Linked DNA regions of Mus musculus. The protein of the gene in region 2 purifies or fractionates together with the protein of the main gene of each other region. This does not show direct contact. Links are inferred from orthologs where the notes say so. Each region holds a gene or a part of one and is shown on either strand. Other genes may lie near its edges. The genes, in order: Eef1b2, Eef1a2, Vars and Eef1g.

The links.
Region 1: the proteins of Eef1a2 (region 2) and Eef1b2 purify together in Homo sapiens (co-immunoprecipitation; 4 studies listed by BioGRID and IntAct, counting the BioPlex papers as one, with this or other methods). This does not show direct contact. The link is inferred for Mus musculus from reciprocal best matches to the Homo sapiens genes EEF1A2 and EEF1B2.
Region 3: the proteins of Eef1a2 (region 2) and Vars purify together in Homo sapiens (co-immunoprecipitation; 3 studies listed by BioGRID and IntAct, counting the BioPlex papers as one, with this or other methods). This does not show direct contact. The link is inferred for Mus musculus from reciprocal best matches to the Homo sapiens genes EEF1A2 and VARS1.
Region 4: the proteins of Eef1a2 (region 2) and Eef1g purify together in Homo sapiens (affinity purification with mass spectrometry; 4 studies listed by BioGRID and IntAct, counting the BioPlex papers as one, with this or other methods). This does not show direct contact. The link is inferred for Mus musculus from reciprocal best matches to the Homo sapiens genes EEF1A2 and EEF1G.

The regions. Positions count from the first base shown.
Region 1 is NC_000067.6:63,175,009-63,180,420, reverse strand, and holds the start of Eef1b2 (elongation factor 1-beta), read right to left. Parts: upstream 3,591-5,412; 5' UTR 3,210-3,590; coding exon 3,130-3,209; intron 2,668-3,129; coding exon 2,545-2,667; intron 1,983-2,544; coding exon 1,856-1,982; intron 1,745-1,855; exon of another isoform or gene 1,667-1,744; intron 1,590-1,666; coding exon 1,523-1,589; intron 1,399-1,522; exon of another isoform or gene 1,286-1,398; intron 1,174-1,285; coding exon 1,048-1,173; intron 964-1,047; coding exon 809-963; 3' UTR 1-808. UniProt on the Homo sapiens protein: Catalytic subunit of the guanine nucleotide exchange factor (GEF) (eEF1B subcomplex) of the eukaryotic elongation factor 1 complex (eEF1).
Region 2 is NC_000068.7:181,149,906-181,154,864, forward strand, and holds part of Eef1a2 (elongation factor 1-alpha 2), read right to left. Parts: intron 3,926-4,959; coding exon 3,746-3,925; intron 3,176-3,745; coding exon 2,879-3,175; intron 1,165-2,878; coding exon 1,014-1,164; intron 28-1,013; coding exon 1-27. UniProt on the Homo sapiens protein: Translation elongation factor that catalyzes the GTP-dependent binding of aminoacyl-tRNA (aa-tRNA) to the A-site of ribosomes during the elongation phase of protein synthesis.
Region 3 is NC_000083.6:35,013,070-35,017,490, reverse strand, and holds the end of Vars (valine--tRNA ligase), read right to left. Parts: intron 4,370-4,421; coding exon 4,299-4,369; intron 4,227-4,298; coding exon 4,101-4,226; intron 3,849-4,100; coding exon 3,744-3,848; intron 3,664-3,743; coding exon 3,595-3,663; intron 3,466-3,594; coding exon 3,387-3,465; intron 3,258-3,386; coding exon 3,130-3,257; intron 2,870-3,129; coding exon 2,714-2,869; intron 2,555-2,713; coding exon 2,348-2,554; intron 2,127-2,347; coding exon 2,015-2,126; intron 1,898-2,014; coding exon 1,572-1,897; intron 1,305-1,571; coding exon 1,236-1,304; 3' UTR 1,162-1,235; downstream 1-1,161. Other genes in the region: Vwa7 (von Willebrand factor A domain-containing protein 7 isoform 1 precursor), read right to left, coding at 186-419. UniProt on the Homo sapiens protein: Catalyzes the attachment of valine to tRNA(Val).
Region 4 is NC_000085.6:8,969,223-8,974,181, reverse strand, and holds part of Eef1g (elongation factor 1-gamma), read right to left. Parts: coding exon 4,957-4,959; intron 4,819-4,956; coding exon 4,676-4,818; intron 4,339-4,675; coding exon 4,195-4,338; intron 1,676-4,194; coding exon 1,546-1,675; intron 1,279-1,545; coding exon 1,074-1,278; intron 1-1,073. UniProt on the Homo sapiens protein: Probably plays a role in anchoring the complex to other cellular components.

The DNA.
Region 1 (5,412 bases), on a different chromosome or scaffold from region 2:
AGAAAAGGGTGTCAGATCCCATTACAGATGGTTGTGAGCCACCATGCGGTTGCTGGGATTTGAACTCACAACCTTCAGAAGAGCAGTTGGTGTTCTTAACCATCTCTCCAGCCCTGTGATACATTTCATAACGTACTTCTAGAGCAGCATAACCTCCCACAAGTGTCTCCAAGGAATAGCTTTGCGCATACTGCCTCCCCCAGCACTTCCCTCCATCTCTAGGTTGAGTTCTGAAAACCCACACTTGACCACCTTATGAGCCTACAATGTTCCTTTCAGGACACTTCCAAAAACTCTTATGTACAGGTGTTGTGCTCGTGGCCATCAGAGCACCTTCTAGAGTTTCGCTCTTACTCTATGGAGTGAACCAAACAGTAAGCAACCTCAGTGGCTATCATAGAGTCATCTCAGCAGCCCAAGATTCAGTTTTTCAGAAAGACATCGAAGGCATCTAGTGACAGTTTATCAATAGTATCATGTACTGCTAACAGCAAAAGAATTATTTCACTAATCACAAAAGTATACTCTAATTGCTAAATCTTTAATAACACATCAGTTCTTTATCTTCCTTTTAATTATATCTATGGTACACACAGTGTTGGCTAAAAGACAACTTCAGGTTGGTCTGGTCATCAAGCTGAGTGGTTTAAAAATGCTGAGCTATTTCTCTTTCCAGTTCAAGTTTTCGCCACTAATGAGTTACACTGAATCCTTTCCTTCAAAATGAAGACATACCATTTCACAGCAAAATGAAGAGCCAAGGGTTATCTTTCAAGCTTTTATTTAAGTGCACTGACTTAAGAATGATTTAAATCTTGTTAAAAGCAGCCACATCCATGGACTGTACGTAGTCCTCAAAAGCAGTAATTTGCTCTTCCAGCATATCCGTTCCAACCTTATCATCTTCAACTACACACTGTATTTGAAGCTTTTTAATTCCATATCCCACTGGAACCAATTTAGCTAAAAAAGAACATCAAGGGGTAAATGTTAGGAAATCCTTACGGGAAAACGCACAAATCCCTAAAACACAAGCATCACACTTACAGGAGCCCCACACCAGGCCATCTGCTTGAATGCTTCGGACACACTCCTCTAGTTTTGTCATGTCCGTCTCATCATCCCAAGGCTTCACGTCTAGTAGGATGGAAGACTTCGCAACAACTGCAGGCTCTAAGGAAGATTAAGAAGTGCACCTAAACACTCAACACTTTCACCATTAAGTCAAATCTCAAATTTGTTTTAAAACAGACCATCTTTTTGTCAAACACACACACAATTTGCCTTGTGTCTGTCACACATAATCCTCCTCCTGTGTGGCTAAGAAAGAGGCATTAAATTGTGTAACAGTTTCTTTCCCACAGAGGAATGCTACAACTGCTACCATAAAGACAGCTGTAGACCAGTAGCTGTGGAAGTTTTAAAATATTGACCCATTCAATTTAACTGGGGAAAATCCACTTTAGGGCAAGCACTGGACAAGCTCCTGAAATCAACACTACTAACAATGAAGATTACCCACTTTTAGCTTTCTTGGACTCATACTGTGCAAGGCGTTCTTCTCGTAGCTTCTTTGCTTCCTCACTTTCCTGTACAGAGAAAAGATGTTTCACAAAGTTGGTTATCTTCTGCTTAAATGTAGTGACAAGGTCATCACAAAACCCACCAGATTTATCAGAAAAAGCAAATCCATCAGGAGCTCAGCCGAAAGAAGGTGATTTGATTTTATTCATCATGTACCCAGTGATAAATTTTAAAAGGCAGACAATAAAGCCACGCCAGGATCCATCCAGGGAGTGGCTATGGCATCTGTCCTCAGGCTTCTCAATATGCTTGGATAAAGATGAAGTCATACCTCCTCATCATCAGATCCAAAGAGATCAATGTCGTCATCATCCTTAGCATCTGCAGCTCCACTTCCTGTGGTGTCTTCTACACTGCTAGGGCCATACTTGCCCAAAGATTTCTTCACTCCCGGCAGGCTTGAAAACAAACATTCTGCCACATTAGGTCAGTGTCAAAGCCCTTTCTAGGCAAAACACACAATCTTCCTTTCCCAGGAACTCCCACTCTCTTCTGGTTATTTAACCTTTAGCACAATCCCAGGCAAATAACTTTACTCTTCACCCATGGGAGACATTGTATTCAGTACTCACTACGGCTTACTCTTTCAGAATGAACATCTGTTTGAGATTTCATTAAGTATGCTCACTTCCATTCTTAGTGAACTGGAATCCACTTCCCCAAACTTCCACCCTTGCTGGTAGTTTCAGAAGAATGGCCAGGGACCGAATGAGCGAGCTACCCTCACACCCCAGCGGTGGCCCCCCCAGGTCCAAAGCACATGATCAGAGAGGTGTGGGAAAGGTGAACTGCGGTTGTCCATGTTCTACCTGTTCTGTGAGAAAATGGAGGACTTCAGTCTCTTGGCCTTGTAAGGTCACAAAGAAATTCAGCTCACACTAGGTCAGCAATGCTAAAGCCAACTTTAACCCGGTCCCTACTTTGCATGTGAAAATCCAGGTAGCACAAAGATACCTTTACCTGGCCTTTTCTTTTTCATACGACTTGATGTGATTATACCAACGTAGGGCATGACACAGGTCAGCAGGTGGTGGACCAGAAACTGCTTCAAATACTGCCACGTCTGCTTGTGATGGCACGTACCTGCCAGTGACACAAAAACAAGTGCACAGACCTTTAAAAGAAAAGACACAAACACTAGCTGGTAAATGACATAGCCCATATCCGTCAAGCTAACTAGTGAGAACAATTACAGGGCTAGCCTAAGTTGCTTCTCATTGAAAGGACACAGAACATGTTTGAATCTAGGCAAGCCCAAGAACTATCTGCCACCCAGGAGAACTCATCCCACCAGACTTGCCACAGGTTTCAACTAACAAACTAACTTGTCCAAAGACGCGGAAGAACCAGCTGGACGTGGGCACACGGAGAGCAAGCATCATCTCAATTATAATGCTGGCAGCCCCTCCCGGGAGGTCCCGCTCCATTGGCATCCCGGCCCCGGGAGCACTGACTCGGCGTCCCCCAGCATCCGGAGACCCGCTTCCTTCCCGCCGAGCCCGCGCCACGTGGCCCCGGCCCCCCAGCCTCTCGGCTCCTGCTCACCCCTCAATGTAGCTCTTGTCCGCCAGGTAATCGTTGAGCACCTGGAGGCCGGCAGGGGTTTTCAGGTCTCCGAATCCCATGGCGAAGGCTGGAACGGGGAGCTGTGCAAAAGCGGAGGACGAGAGCGCCGGGAGGCCGCGGCCAGCGCTGAGGGAAAAAAAGGACCCAGAGCGTCCGGAAAACTCCTTATATAGAGACGGAGGCGTTTCCCTCCGCCGCCCCGGCTAGAGGTTAAAGGTCAAGGTCCGTTCCTAGTCTCGGTCCTCCGCGTACCACTGCGACTTGGTAACTAAAGGGCCCACAGGTCGTCCGCCGGCCTTCCCTTGTCTTTGGAAGAAAATTAATAAAGGAGGCATTTTAAAATGCCTTCGCTCCAAGGACTCCGAAACGAAGGGAAACGCCCTCTGAGGAGCCGGAGTTGAACGAAAGCGCTCGGACGCAAGGCCTCGGCTACTTCCGGCGGAACTGCAGGTCCAAGTCGTCTTCTCCGCTTCCTCCCGGGCTCGCTCTCGGAAATTGCCGAACAGGTCCGAAGACGGGGAAAAACAGTCGAATCTGTGTTTCTAGTCCCTCCTGGCTTTCCGTCCTCCAGGTCGGGCTGACAGAGGTTGCCGTGGCCGCCATATTGACTTAGCGGCCAGGGTTTTGAGGGGTCAGGGAGACCCGGACAGGTCCGCGGAACTACTCGGTGGGCTCCGGAGGAAAGGTGAGGACGCGTTGAAGTGGGCAAGTTGAAGCGCTTCGAGTGGTGTTTTCTTTTTTGGCAGGTCTGCATCCCATAGGTCAGACAAGCCGTTCTCCTCTTGCCCTTGACTGGGTACCAGCTCCTGCCCCGCCACCTCTGGAACCCGGGAGAGCCGGCAGGTGAGGGTTATGAGCCTTGGTTTCTGGTCTGATGGAGCCTAAGCCGATCAGGAGACCTTTGGGAGTCCGGGCTTGCGAGCTACTCTCTCTTTGCAGGGGAAGACAGGAGATGGCCCTGTCATCAGGAGACCGGTTCATCTCCCAGGGTCACGAGAGACTTAAACCTCAGGCATCGGTTTAGTTGCTGTCTTGAACCTGTCCACGCTACTGTTTGTTTTTGTCTAGCCCGGTGATCATGTTGGGTAGTATTTTATTCATTCCACCGACGGGGAGAACTGACAAAAACTAAAAGTTAGCTCAGTCGGAGCTGGAGGGAGAGTCAAGCGGTTAAGAGTGCCTTGCAGAGAGGATCCGAGTTCGGTTCCCACTAGCCCAGTCAGAAGACTCCCAGCTGCCATGTAACCTTATCAGGGAATTCTCCACTCTCTTTTGGACTGTGAGCACCGGCACTTAGAAGTGCACATTACCCACACACAGATAAGCACATGCACACATAAACTAAAAATGAATCTTAAAAAGTTAGCCTGGAGTCCGCTGCAGATCAGGAAGCTGCGGTGTCTTCAAGTTTGTGAGGTTCATGTCTGTAAGACCAAACAGATTTCTGGGATCCACCCCCACCCCATCACTAAATCTAATATTCTAAGCCAGCTCATCAGCGCCTTTTAGAAAGTTACTTTTATAAGATACAGCCAAGATATTAGAGCCAGGGTGTGATGATGGTACCTGTCTGTAATTCCAGAAAGGGGAGGCTGAGATGTGAGGATTGAACGGAGAACTTTGTGTGTGATTAGGTAAGGACTCTACTAACTGAGCTACATCCCTGACTTGACTGGCTATTTTTGTTCCTATTTGGTAGATACTATGTCTAAAATACATATTAGAGCTGGGAAAGATCTTAGTTGGAAATGATGCTTGCCAATCCTGACATCCTGAGTTAGATCTCCAGGACCCACATTGATGGAAAGAAAGAACTGACTTTCAAAGGGTGTCCTTTAACTTTCACAGGCACCCGCCCCACCCACCTCCTTGTGTGTTTATGGTGACACTCACGGAGTAAGTAAATGAATGTCAACAACAACAACAACAGTAAAATATATACCAATCTGGACATGGTGGTGCGTGTTGATAATTCTGCTCCTTGCTTGGGAAGTGGAGGCCTGAAGTTTAGGAGTCCAAGTTAATCCTTGACTTCATAGCAAGTGTGAAGCCAGTCTGAGGTACATGAGGTCTGTCTACAAACAAACAAACCCCACCAAGTAGAAAACCCCAGTAAAACAAACTGTACAGTGTAGAAGCCAGGTTATCCCCAAACTCTTGATGTAGTGCAGGCTGTTTTTATGGGATGAAGCTTCATGGGTGTAGATCAGGCTGGCCTCAAATTCATGATTCTCATGCTTTAGGTTTCCCAGTGCTGGAATC
Region 2 (4,959 bases):
CTCGGCCCACAGGCACGGTCCCAATGCCTGGGCCAAGAGAGGGTATTGTGAGATGGCAGGCCAGAGGAGCGGTGCAGGGCAAAACATACAAGCAGGGAGCCTGAAAGTATATGGAGCTCAGGACTTGTTCCTCTCTGAAGGGGTCAAGGGAGATAACCTCACGGAGGGTATACGTAGACAGGGGGTCCCTAGACAAGCAGAGGGTGAGACAGAAGGAGTCTCTCCCGGCAGACTCAAGGATGAGGGGCAGGGCAGAGAAGGGAGGAACATCACAAGCTCCTCCTCCTTCCCTGAGAACCCCTCCCTGTGGTGTGTGGCCCAATCTACTCCTGGCGCTGGGTCTACTCCTGCCCTCACGGGACTCCCTGAGTCCTGCTGTAGCACTGTGGTCCTGCCACTGAAGAGGCATCTGGCCACAGCCCTTCTGACAGGCCTGCTCACACAGACGGTCTGGCTTCCACAGGGATACCATGATGAGCAAGTGGCTGGGAGAGGGAGAGCTCTCCAGCATCTCCTGGAAGCTTGTGGGTGGAGTGGCATTATGGGATGGCAGAGAAAAGCCAACAGTCATGCTCTGTGTTGGAGTTAAGCGTGAGCGTGATATTCGCATTCCCCTCCCTTTGCTCGTCTCATATGAGGCTTTGGTTTCTGTTGGCCCATGTGACCTATATTTCTCACTCCTGGACTAGGATTGCCTCCTATGAGACAGGCACCCTCCACCCTGCAGGCAAAGTGTAAGTCGGTTCAATACTCCTATCTTATGTCCCTAGCTTGTGGCTGAGTGCTGGAGGGGGTACGGAGTGGGAAAGGGATCCTATGGAAGGCTGAGTGAACAAATGGTAGGTGGGAGGGGCCACTGTGGAGGTGAGTGGGAGGGGTGACTGAGTAGACGGATGGATAGGGTGGGTAGATAGAGCAAGAATCAAGATTCCTTGTTGATATCCTAGTCAGGGTTTGGAGCAGAGTAGGCAAGCGCCTGCCGCAGTGAGCCCCAGCACTGAACCCTCACTCACCCCCAATCTTGTACACATCCTGCAGAGGCAGACGAAGGGGCTTGTCAGTGGGGCGGGTGGGGGGCAGGATTGTGTCCAGGGCTTCCAGCAGGGACACGCCGCTTGCATTTCCTTCCTTACGCTCTACTTTCCAGCCCTTGAACCATGGCATCTGGGCAGTACCAAAAAGGAAAACAAAAGGGTGCCAGTTATCACAGAGCAACTCACCTGACCTGACCCTCAGCCTCCGATCTCCTGGACCTGCCTAAGGGGTAGCCTGGGAAGGGAGCTTGACCATTCAAGCTGAATAGCTTGCTCCTTATCCCTCCTCTCCTTCCTAGCCTCACAGGGACCCTGAACAAACACAGCTTAGGAAAGAGGGAAGTGACAAATCAAGCAAACAAAAACAGCTTCCCCAGACTGCTGTCATGCCCCCACCACTTACAAATGAGACCACTCAGCCTGGCCTGATTCCCTAATTCCCCTGGGATCTGATCAATCATAGCCCTAGACAGGACAAGTACCAGGGGAATGGGGACCCAAGTCTAGCCAATGACCATGCCATGGATAAAATCCACCCTCTGCCCTTACCCCAGAGTTCTGCTCCATACCAAACTATCTCCAAGCTCAGGTCTAGCACCACCACCACCACTACCACCACCACCACCACCACCACTACAATGGCCTCTCTGGAGGATGACTTCAAACCCCCCTGACAGAGCTCCTCATGGTCCACCTGCCACAGACAAGAAGTAAATCCACCCAAGGGGCTTTGTGCACTCCTGCCTTAGTATTCATGGCCAAGTTCCAAGCACCTCAGGTCAACAGATGACTCTCAACGTATGGATGGGCATAGCCCCAGAGCACAATAGAGCAGTAGGGAGCAGAGGAGTTTCTGCTGATCAGAAGTGTCCAGGGGATTCTAAAGTCCTGCTAATCATACATCAGCAAGAACAAAATGGAGTATCCCCTGCCCGCCAAACTCTGTCCTTATACCACCAGGCACTGGGTCCCCAGCTATCTCCAGAGAACCTAGGCTTCTATCATTTTACTCACAGTGGCAGCTGCAAAGCTGGCTATAGCTGAGTACCCACCTTTCTAGGACAGGGGTTTCCTCTGGATAGACCAAGGTCTAGGTCCCAGGCTGTCTCTGAAAAATGTCTTCCTCTTTACTCCCAAGTAAGAGTCCCAACCCAGAGCTGCAGACTGTCTAAGTTTCAAGCTTCCACATGACCTGCCCAAACACAATCCTCCACTCTTCAGGCTAGCCTCCGGACATGCTTCCTTCCCAGATACCAACCCACTTCAGACTAAAGGGGGAGGCAGCTGAAAAAAACCATGTGGCCTTACTGATTCTGAATAGTTTTTTGTTGTTGTTGTTTTGTTTTTGATTTTTTTTTCTTTTTTGTTTTTTTGAGGCAGGGTTTCTCTGTATAGCCCTGGCTGTCCTGGAACTCACTTTGTAGACCAGGCTGGCCTCAAACTCAGAAATCCACCTGCCTCTGCCTCCCAAGTGCTGGGATTAAAGGTGTGCATCACCACACCCGGCCTGAATAGTATTTAAACCCAGGGCAGTGACTTCGGAGAAATAAAAACTGTTTTTCCCCCATAGTGAGATCCGGGATCCAACAGGCAGTGTCTGTAGGGATGACTTGATGAAACCATCATTTGCCAGAAAAAGGGCCTTATCTTCCTCTTTTGGCCTCTTAAGGAGGCTGAGTCAGAGAACTTCAAATGCAGGTCCCTTACTAGGAGGTCTTCATCACCACAGAGCTCACAGAAACCTAGCAAGACCAAAGGGAGCCTGGCCCACCCTGGCCTGGAGCCTTGGAGCCCTGGGCTCTTGAGAAGGCCAGCACTGTCCCCACCATACCATCTCCACTCACATTAGGTGAAGGCTCCAGCATGTTGTCACCATGCCAGCCCGAGATGGGCACGAAGGGCACCGTGGCTGGGTTGTAGCCGATCTTCTTGATGTAGGCGCTGACCTCCTTAACAATCTCATCATAGCGCTTCTCGCTGTAGGCTGGTTCCGTGGAGTCCATCTTGTTGACACCCACAATGAGCTGCTTCACACCCAGAGTGTAGGCCAGGAGTGCGTGTTCCCGGGTTTGCCCGTTCTTGGAGATGCCCGCCTCAAACTCGCCCACACCGGCTGCCACGATCAGCACTGCGCAGTCCGCCTAGCCAACAGGTCAGACACAGTGAGTCCCCACCCGGCCCTGCCTTCGACCTGGCCCTGCCACCCACATAATGGGGCCTGGGCAGTTATGCTGGGGGTAGAGATTCAGGGTATCTACCTCAAGGGCAACAGGGGAATCTTCCACCAGACCCTGAGTCAAGGAGGCCCAGACTGGCCATCAACTCCACTGCCAGCAGGGTATGGTCCTTGGATGAGTCACTGATCCCCTCTGGTTCTGTCCTCTCTGCCTGTGACTGACTGACTGCTTTTCTACCCATATGTCACTGTATCTACTCTGGGCTCTTCTATAAAAATCTATGTGTGAAAGATATGCCTACATGTCACCCTTGGTCTGTCTGCTGGCCCCAGCAGAGGTAACCCTGCAGGCACCCGGTCTAGCTGAGATATAAACACTGACTCAGTTCTTGAGGGACTCTATGCCCAACAGGATGGAGAGGACATGGAGATGACATGGGTAGAGGTCTGCCGAGACAGAAAGTGCAAGAGACGCTGACACCTGAAGAGAGCTCTTGGGCCCCGAGTCACTGAGCTAGGTGCCCTCTGTGCACACCTGGGATGTGCCTGTAATCATATTCTTGATGAAGTCTCGGTGTCCTGGAGCATCGATGATGGTGATGTAGTACTTGGTGGTCTCAAACTTCCAGAGGGAGATGTCGATGGTGATGCCTCGTTCCCGCTCGGCCTTCAGCTTGTCCAGCACCCAGGCATATTTAAAAGAGCCCTTCCCCATCTGGAAGGGTAGAGGCACAACTCAGGATAAGACACAGGACTCTGAGGTCACATCCACCTGCCATGCCTGCCCTGGCCCATGGGAGCAGCCATGGAGAAGTGACAGTTGGCTTAAAGCACTTTGAACTGAAGACCTCTGTCCCATCTCTCTGGTGTTGATCCCCAAACCCTGCTCTGCCTCACCCCAGGCTGCCCAGATCAGCCAGCCCCACCCTCACTCCCTTCCTCAATGGTTGTGGACATGCAAGTCCCCCAGCAGAGGGCGTGAGGGCCTGGGAGTTGCCAAACTATCCTTGCCACCTGAGGCTAAGGCTCTACACCCAATTAGAGATCAATTATCTCATTAGGTTTGGGACTGTTAAAAACAAAACAACTCTCTAAGTTATTTTTTTAAGGGAAAATTTTAAAAATGAGTAAATTGTTCAAGGTTTTGAGAAAATCCCGGTTCCAGCTCTTCCTGCAGCTGATGAATAACTCTGAGGCATCTCCCCTCCCCACTTCCACCAAAACAGAAGTAGAAACAGCCCCACCAAGAGCAAGGCTGGCTGCTCTTTGCAAATCTGTGCCAGGGTGAGACTCCTTGTGAGACTCCTACAGCCTGGACCACGGTTTGTGGTCATCGATGCTCAGCTGAACATGACTCCCTACCAGAATCTCACATGACATGTTTGCTTCTGCATTCCAGGGATGATGCCCAGCTTGGAGGGGCTACCCAGACAGAGCCAGACAAAACCCAGCTGGGACCTGATCCAAGTGGCCATCAAACCCTCAGGTCCCTCCTACCTCCTCCCCTCAGCGCAACCCCTAAAAGGTAAAAGCATCAGGCCTAGACACACAGAATTGTGGCTCAAAGCCCCATATACACACAGGAGCAGGAGCTCTGCATAGACAGTTGATGCCCTCAGATCTGCCTTAGCCCTTATCCAGGAGCCAGCTCTTCTCGGAATGAGCAGGGTTAGGGGCAGAGAAGAGAATTCTGTTACAACCACTGCTCATTTGTAGGTCTCAACCAGGAACAGGCTACCAAGACCCCCC
Region 3 (4,421 bases), on a different chromosome or scaffold from region 2:
TAAGTGCTGGGATTACAGGTGTGTGCCATCACATCTCTTTTGGTACAGACTTTCCCAAGACTGGCGACTCAGGATTTCAGGACCAGAATTGAGGAGGGACAAGTGTGGAAGTGAGCAAGTCAAAGGTGGAGCCTCCTTGTGACAAGGATCCTCTGAGAAACCCCAGGTGAATCTAAGGTGCTCACCCTGTAGTCCTCTACATGGAGGCGTGGTCGGCCTGGGTGTGGCTGCTCCAGAAAGAGCACAAGGGTGACATTGAGTGCAGCCTCCTCAGTCAGGTCTTGGTGAGTGACAGAGCCAGGGGCAGCCAGAAGGCTCCAGATGTTGGGAAAGAAGGCAGATGTTGGGGGCAACAGCAGCTGAAGCAGAAGCAGTATTGGGGGGCCCAGGTGGGACAGGGGTACCTCCACAGGGAGCATGGCTGAAGCATGGACCTAGGGAACAGAAGCACCTCAAGGGAAAAAAAAGCCACCAATTGCAGGGCAGGCCTGCTGTCACCATGGCACCTATTGCCCACTTCCTGCTTTGCTTCAGGTGCCCCATATACTCCAGGGTGGCTCCCCTCCCTGTGCCTGCAACCCATACAAACTAAGGGCCTGTCAGGCCAGTGGAGCCCACAGCTGCCATCGGAGGCCCCGGAGGACCCTCTCAAGATTCTCTTCCTACACCAGACTGAGCCCTGGCCCTGCCCCACGGATAGAAGTCTCCTCAGGCCTCTCCTACCTGGAAGCTGGGTCTCCTGGGCAGCGCTGGCCTGGGTGTGGCGTCACAGGGCACTTAGGTCAGAGTTATAATTAACTGGGCCTCAGTAGAGTGAGAGGGAGGCTCTTAGCAAGGGGATTGAGGACAGGCAGCCCCTGGCCATCTTCCATTCGTGCCAACCCAGAGCCACAAGATGTAGCGAAAGCCGGGGCGGGCCCAGGGCAGGCCTCCGCAGGCACAGCGCAGTGCAGTGCAGTGAGGTGAACTGGGGAGGCGGGGAGCTGGCAGCAGAGCACCGTGACTCAGGCCTGGCACTGTGCCAGAGACAGACCCAGGCAGACGCATCCTGCTGCCCACCAGGACCAGGGCCAGGCAGGAGCCGGCAGTTCTCCTGCTGCTCCTGGGAAGCCCTAGGTCAGGCCTCTGTACGCCCCCTGCCCACACCACACAGACAAGAGCGAATGTTGGGAAAATATTTTATTGCTGCCATCCCTGTTGATGGAACACTGGGGGCTGAGGGTTGGAATGGGGGGTCACAGCATCTTCTGGAACAGGGCGATGGCCTCATCCACCTTCCTGAGCTCCGCCTCTGTCTGTTGCAACTGGGGGTGCAAAAGAGGTATGTGGTGACCCCATACCCAAGGAGCCTAAACACCCAGAGAGCAGAGGAGCCCAGGGTGATGAGATGGGTGAGGATGACCAGGAAGTCAGGGCAGCAGGCTTCCAAGTCCCTCTTCCTCTAGAGCGCTTCTTTTCTTGAGAGTACAGTGACAAAGGGCCCCAGAGCACACACAACCCCACCTGTGCAGGAGTCCACAGGCTGCCTGGCCACACACGACCCACTGGCATACCCCATCCCCTCCACACACCTTCGCTTCATCTGCCTCCTGGACCTCAAGGGGCACCTTTGCTGAGTAGCTGGAGGCAGCACGGCGCTCCTGCAGCCGCTGAGCCTGCCGCTGTGCCTCACTTCGCTTGGCCTGCAGCTTGCCCAACTCCCGGGCTGGGTCCACTAGCCCCTGCAGCTGCAGGTGGATGGAGCAGCGGTCAGAAGCCACAGCTACAGCGCAGCCCTGCGGTGCAGGAGCACCCAGGGCGAGGACAGCCACCACGCCCGCACTGGCCAGAGCCTGCACGTAGCCCGACACTGCCGAGGCCAAGGCACCTGTGGCCTCATCGGCTACTTCCAAGAAACCTGTAGAGCGAAGAGGGGGAAAAAGAGGAAAGGGAAGCCGAGGTACAGCCAGACCCTGGGCTCCCCAAGGGGCCGTGGAGGTCAGGGGATAGGTGGATGCGAGGGACTGAGGCTTACAGTCGGGCCTGGTGCGGGTCAGGTTGTAGTCAGCACGCAGGGAGCGCACAGCTCGAGTGATGCTCAGAGCTAGTTCAAGAGCAGCTTCAGCTTCAGGGTCCTTCCAGGAGCACTGTGGGGCAGAGTGGGGGAAGGGGGAGCACTGTGAGTCAGACTGGGGGAAAAGGGGAGCACTAGGGCAGAGTGGGGGGAGGGGGAGCACTGTGAGTCAGACGGGGGGAAAAGGGGAGCACTGTGGGGCAGAGTGGGGAAAGGGGGAGCACTGTGGGGCAGAGTGGGAGAAAAGGACTGCTCAGGAGGGCAGCAGCATGCCCTCCAGGCCACACCTCATACCTCTGAGGGCTCTGGGTACGGGGTGACACAGAGGCTAGCAGGCGCTTTTGGTGTCCGCCGGGGCAGTCTCTGGAATAGCTCCTCTGTGACAAAGGGCATGAAGGGCGAGAGCAGCCGCAGGCCAACATCCAGGCAGGTGTAGAGGGTCTGCCGAGCACACTCTGCCGCCACCTGGTCCACTCCATTCAGCACAGGTTTTAGACACTCCTAGAGATGGGGAGGCAGAAGGCTCAGGGCCAGGTCCCACCTGGAGCCCCCTCCCCTGCTGCCCCCATTAGGACTGGAAAAACCAAAAGGTGACCTCAAGTTTCAGGGCCAAGCTGAGGTCAGAGCTACACGTGCCCAGGCCCCGCCCCAGCTGCTCACCAAATAGACATCACAGAGCTCATAGAGCCAAAAGCTGTACTGGGCGGTGGTGATGGCCGGGAAATCGTAAGCCTGGAAGCCTTCATTGCTGAGCCTCACGGCCTCAGTTAGGCGGCTGCGGATCCAGCGGTCCACCAGGCTCTCGTGCCCTTCAGGCTTGGGGGAAGAGAAACGTCAGGCAGTAGGCCATCACACTACCAGGGCAGGGAGTAGAGTGGGACACAGGAGAATCTGCATTCCTCATGGGCCCCAAGCTGCAGAGACTTCCCCATCAATCATCAACTTCCACCTGTCTGTCCCTGACTAAAAGGAGGATCTCAGGGGACAGCAGCTTTAGTCTTGACACTTGAGTGGAGGGAGCCACAGACTGTGTGGGCACAGGCACTGTCACCGATGGCCACCGACAAGATCCTCACCTTGGAGGTTGCTGAGGGCACAAAGCCCTTCCCAAGGCCGCGCAGGGCAAACTTGGTAGCATTCCAGAGTTTGTTGCAGAAGTGACGGTACCCCAGGATCCTGTTCACATCCAGGTTGATGTCTCGACCTAGAGGAGGGATGTCTGTGATTCCACCCCAGTTGCCCTCTCAGAGAGGTCCTCTGAAGGCCCAAGGTAGAGGAGATCACGGGTTGCAGGGAAGAAAACAGGCAACTGAGGGAGGTCGGGAGACCATACCTTGGGATGTGTAGGCACAGAGTCCAAAGCGTAGGGCATCAGTGCCACACTCGGGAATCCCTGCTGGAAAGTCGGCCTTCTACAGAGGATGCAGAGGAACAGGGCGGTTGAGCAGGGTGGTCAGGTTGCCCACCTGCTGCAGCCCACCCCTGGGGTACACCCACTCCTGCCCACCTGCTGCAGCCCACCCCCGGAGCACACCCCTTACCTGTCCTTCTTTGGCTTTCTCCACCTCACTGGGATCCAGGTTGCTGTTCAGTAGTTGGTCATAGAGGCCCTAGGGAGGAGATGGGAGGTGTCAGATCGTTCTAGCCACAGCTGCAAAGTTGTTTCTAGCTGACCCACTGAGTACCCCACCTGCAAGGAAACTCCATGGATGACATCCAGGGGGTCGATGACATTGCCAAGAGACTTGCTCATCTTCCTGCCATGAGCATCACGCACGATTGCATGGAGATAGACCTGAGGGCACGAGGCGTGATGAACTGTGAGGCCATGCTCCTCCCAGTCTTGAAGGCCCTCCCCAGTCTGCCCACTTGGAATCATAGGTTCCTAGTGGCCCTACTGGCTGGTCATAGTGTATCTGACAAGTGCCCCCTCCTCTGGGAAGAGGAAGCCCTGAGGCAGACCCATCAAGCTAATCTTAGCCAACAGCCACCCAAGAAGGCAGGTAAGGAGACACGGGGCAGGGGCGGGGCTTAGCCATAGTCACACCTCTCTGAAGGGCAGCTTCCCAGTGAGCTTCAGGCCGAGCATGACCATCCGGGCCACCCAGAAGAAGAGGATATCATGGCCTGTCTCCAACAGGGTCCCAGGGTAGAACACACTGAGGTCTTCTGACTGCGGGAGGACGAGGGCAAGGAGATGAGCCAAGCATTCCCCTTCAGTGCCCCTCCCCTCACTCTAGCATACCTGATTGGGCCAGCCAAAGATGGAGAAGGGAAAGAGACCGGAGGAGAACCAGGTGTCCAACACATCCTCATCTGGGGAAAGCCAGGGTCAGACATTAGAGGGACAGGAACAGAAAAGAAGAAT
Region 4 (4,959 bases), on a different chromosome or scaffold from region 2:
AGCTGGGGTTCCATCCCCGGCACCTTCCAAATCTTCCATGCACACACACAACTTAAATAGCAACTACAGCTGGGCAGTGGTAGTGCATACCTTGAGTTCCAGCACCCGGGGGTCAGAGGCAGGAGGCTCTCTAAGTTCCAGACCACTTGGTCTTCAGAATGAGTTTCAGGACAGCCAGAGTTATACACAGAAAACAGTCTCAAGCCCACCCGCCACCCCTCAAAAAAAAAAAGAAAAAGCAGGAATGCTACATCTGAAGTCTTCTTGGTCTCATACCAAAAAAGCAAACAAAAACTAGAAATTAGGACTCTCAGACAGAAGTCCCTGTCCTTTGGTATAATCCTTGCTGCAATTTCCAACTCTACAGTCAAGAGTATTTCTACATGCTGGTTTACAAGGCAATCACTTAAAACATCACAAAATGTAGGTGGGTCAAAACTGAGCCTGCATGGCTGCTCTGTAGTCAACTTGACCAGGCTAAATGAGTGAGTGGACCCCAGCTTTCATGTCTCTCTGCCCTTCCCAAAACAACTAAAGGGACGGATATTTTGTCTCGTTTTCCCTTTGTTTTTCCTCAGTTGTCCCAGCAATGAAAAAGTATTATGAAATAGACCATTATTGTGCACAGGAAGGTGGCTTTAGGAAGGGCAGAGATGCTAGACTTTGGGGACACACCTGTAATGCTAGTACTTGAGGTGCAAGGGCACAAGGTCCAGGTTCAAGGCAGCCTGGTCTGCACAATAACAAAGGAAGGCATGGTGGCATGCATCATGCTTGGGAGGCACAGGCAGGTCTATAGACTGCCTTTGAGCCACAGGAAGACCCTATCTGAAAAAAACAAAAACAACCCCCACTACACTCCACTTTAAACAGGCTTTTGTCCTTCTGTTAGAAAAATTCCAAGAGGCTGAGGACATGGCTCAGTGGGTAAAGTGCTTGCTATGCAAGCATGAGGAACTGAGTTCAGACCCTCAGCACAACCTGGACACATGAGACCTGGACTATACTTACACCCATCAGTATTGTAACAACCTAACATCGTAGCCCTAGATGTGAGAAGAGCACCAGCTTACCTCTTGGGCAGGTGAGCGAAAGGGTCCTTGGCCTTGGGCTCAGCAGCCAATGCCTGCTCACACTCATCCATCTCTTCCTCAGGAGCTGGGGCAGCTGCCTTTTTTTCCTCCTTCCGCTCAGCCTGGGGTTTCTGTTTCTCCTCTCGTGAACCCTTTTCTTTCCTTGGGGTATCTTTTTTAGGCTGGCTCTCTGCAAACTTCTTAGCTAGCAAAGGATGGAAGAAAGTAAACATACAGCCTCTTTCTTTTTTCTCCCAAACCCGGCAGCAGGCAGGGAAAGTGATGGCTCGGACAGCCTAAGAAGCCTCAAGAAGCAAAACACACATCGTCACACAGCACTGCAGTTTGATGTAAACGTCAGTTACTGGGTGACACCCACGTTCTCTGGGTGAACAAGGCTATGCAAGTCAAAGGGTTGACAGGCGCCAACTGGACCCTGACCCTATCACATGCCCAGTCTCTTCAGACTTACCATCAAACTGAGCCATCTTCTCACACAGCTTCACCTCCCCCAAGATAGCCCTGAACTGGGGCTGGTTAATGCAGGTAAGGAACCACCGGTTGGTATTGGGGAAGGCCTGGCGAAAAGAAGGCTCTAAGACCTGCCAAGAGGGAATGGCAGAAACAAGATCAATAATGGAAAGGCCATGAACAGATTTCAAACCACAGCAAAAGCCCCTTACCTCCAGGTCCACTGTCCTCTCCATGCCACATCAGAACCTTAAATGACTACACCTCCAGGAAGACTCCTTTTCAAAGAAAAGTTTTCAAAGAAGACTCCTTTTATGTGTATTGAGTGTTTTACCTACATATACACATATACGACATACATGCAGTGTTCCCTGAGGCCGTAAGACAGTGCCAGGATCCCTTGGAAATGGAGCTGTAGATGACTGAGGCATTATATGGGTGCTGGTAATTAAACCCTGGCGGAAGGGTGGCCATTGCCCTTAACCACATAACTGTTGAGCTCTTTCCAGTATTCTCTGTGTTTCAGTCAGCTTTATTACATAACCCAAGTGAGCCTTTCACATCAGGATCCTCCCATCTCCACTCTGCTGTGCTGGGAGTATAGGCGCTTTCTCCCTCGTCTTTAGTTCAGTCGAGGATGGCTGTTCCCAGTCCTTCATGCACCATTGCTACTTAATGATTTCATATTCTGCTCTTTCATCTATTCTTTTCTTTTAAAGTTTTATTTATTTCATGTAAGTGAGTACTGGTGTGTCTTCAGCCACACCAGAAGAGGGCATCAGATCCTATTACAGATGGTTGTGAGCCACCATGTGGTTGCTGGGAATTGAACTCAGGACCTCTGGAAAAGCAGCTGGCGCTCTTAACCACTGAGCCATCTCTCTAGCCCCTCTTTCATCTATTCTTAATTTTAAAAATTTCATGCCAACAATCCCAGCACCAAGAAAGCAAAGCAGAGGCAGGCAGAGCTGAGTTTTAGGGCAGCCTGGTCTACAGAGAAACCCTATCCCCCCCACCCCCCCAAAAAAGATTGAAAAGGCTGTAAGAAGAGCCTGTCTAGAGTACCGGGGGGGGCTAGGAATGTGGCTTAGTAGCAGGTGACCCAGACATTGGTCAAGGCACCGGGTTCCAAATCAGCACCCAAATGGGGTAGAGTGGGGTGACTACCACACTTATTTTGCTATGACAACCCTCCAAAAAAAGATACTTCGTGTGTGATGCTAGGAATGGGACATAAAGCATGCCAGGTAAATCACTGGGCTCCACGCTAGCCCCGCACTGCGACTCTAACACACACAGAAGGCACAAGCAACCCAAGACTAGATAGAGCAGCAACACAGCACGTGCCCAGCAGACACAACACAGTCCTTCCTTCAAACCTCGTCCTTGAAAAACTTACATTCATTCTTATGTTTTAGTGCTTTTCTTCCAAGTATATCTGTGCCCACTTAGATCATAAAACACCGGCTCCCCGAGTTGGCGTTATATAGTTTTAAGCTGCCATTTGTGTATTGGGAAATAAACATAGCCTCTGCAAAACAAGAACTCTTCGAGTGCTGAGCCATCTCTCCTGCCCCACACTACCATCTTACAAGCTCCTGTTTGGTACTTTTCTGTATCTGGGTGTCTTGCCTGTGCGTTTGTCTATGCACCACGTGCATTCCTAGGGCTCACGGAAGCTGGAACATCAGATCTTCTGGAAATGGAGTTCCAGTTGTGAGAAGCGTGTGGGTGCTGAGAATCCACCAGAGTCCTCTGGAAGAGCAGCAAGCATTTTTTAAAACTATTGACTCATCTCTCCAGCCCCTGTCATTTTCTACTTTGTCAAAACAGGAGTGGGTAGAAGGGTAAATCATGGAGACAGATCACAGAATTCAGTTAGTCACGCACCGCAAGTTCTGCAGTGACTTGAACATGTACTTGCTGTGTGTTGTGGCCATGGAAGGATTATAATGAACCCTGTGAGGCACACCAGTCTGGCAAACAATGGCATTTTTTTTTGTTCTCACTGGACTGTAATTCTGAACCAGAATGGGTCCAGAGCTGCTGCCGCCTAGAAATCAGCAACACAATATTAAAAAAAAAAAAAAAAACAAACATGGGGGTTGGGGGCAGCTGGGGATGGCTACCTGGTTTGATTCCTAGCACACACATAGTAGCTCACAGCCATCTGTAACTCAAGCTCCTTGGGATCTGCATGCATGCACACACATATGCAAATACATGTAGACATAAGCTGAATACCACCTTGGACTTATCACAGATAAATAACTATGAGAATTCTTATACCACTGCATCTTTAAACACTGAAGTTAAGACAGAGACCTGAATCTGCCTCCAAAAGCTCTCGCTGCTGCAGTCACTATCCCTGTCTCTTACATCTTTGATTTTTGCTTTCTATTTTTGATATCACTATGTAGCCTAGGGTGGCCTTAAACCAGAATGATCCTCCTGTCTCAGTATCTCAAGTGCTGGGATTACACAAGTATGAGCTACCACACGCAGCCTTTATCCATCTTTAATAAGATGGAAACAGTCACAGTTCTCACTGTTGGGATCCCTACAATCATTAACTACTGGTCTGTCTTAAGCAAAAACAGGGTTACCCTAATACAGGTCTAACCCCTGTCACATGGGATATAAACCTTACCTGTTTATAGAGCCACAACAGGGTACAGACAACTGTAATATCAGCCAGTGTCACTCGCTCGCCCACTAGAAAAGTTCGAGTCTTCAAGTGAGTGTCCAGCAGCCCCAGGATTCGCTTCACCTCCTCTTTCGCATTTTCAGTGGCCTGTTGTTTTGAATACTCAAGCTTAGTGGGTACCAAGTCCCTTTCCTCAGATCCCCCCACCAACAGAACTAAAGAAGCCATTTAACCAGCCATCGACTCAACCCCCACCCTCTATCATTAGACTCTAGAATCAGTTGAAACTTATCAGAAATGAAATCACTCGTGTTAGATATCTTCATGATCAACATGACTTTATTTGCACCATACTGATGGTAGCCACTTTAGTCTGCATTGCCCCCACACTCCTGCTATCTTTTCCTTCATCTGTCTCCCAGTCCCAAAATGTAGGCTCTGACTCTATCTCTGGCCCAGCTTCTCCCCAAGTTCCAAAGCGTACCTGTTTGTTGTGGTGCATAATGCCCAAGGTGGGGAACACCCAGGTACTAGCTGGAGGAACGATGTCACTGTCAGCAAAGCTGACCCACTGCACCACCTGAGCTGCCGCCTCTGGCGTACTTCCTCGCAGCTCCTCATTGCTTACTGCAAAGGCAGACATAGAGCTTAGAACTTTGACCTCATGCCAAAACCAAGCCGGGTCTCTGATTCCACCTTGTCCGCCACAGCCGCTTCTACAGCCTTACCCCCATACCCTCTCACGCCTGTATCCCCACAAATTACCAT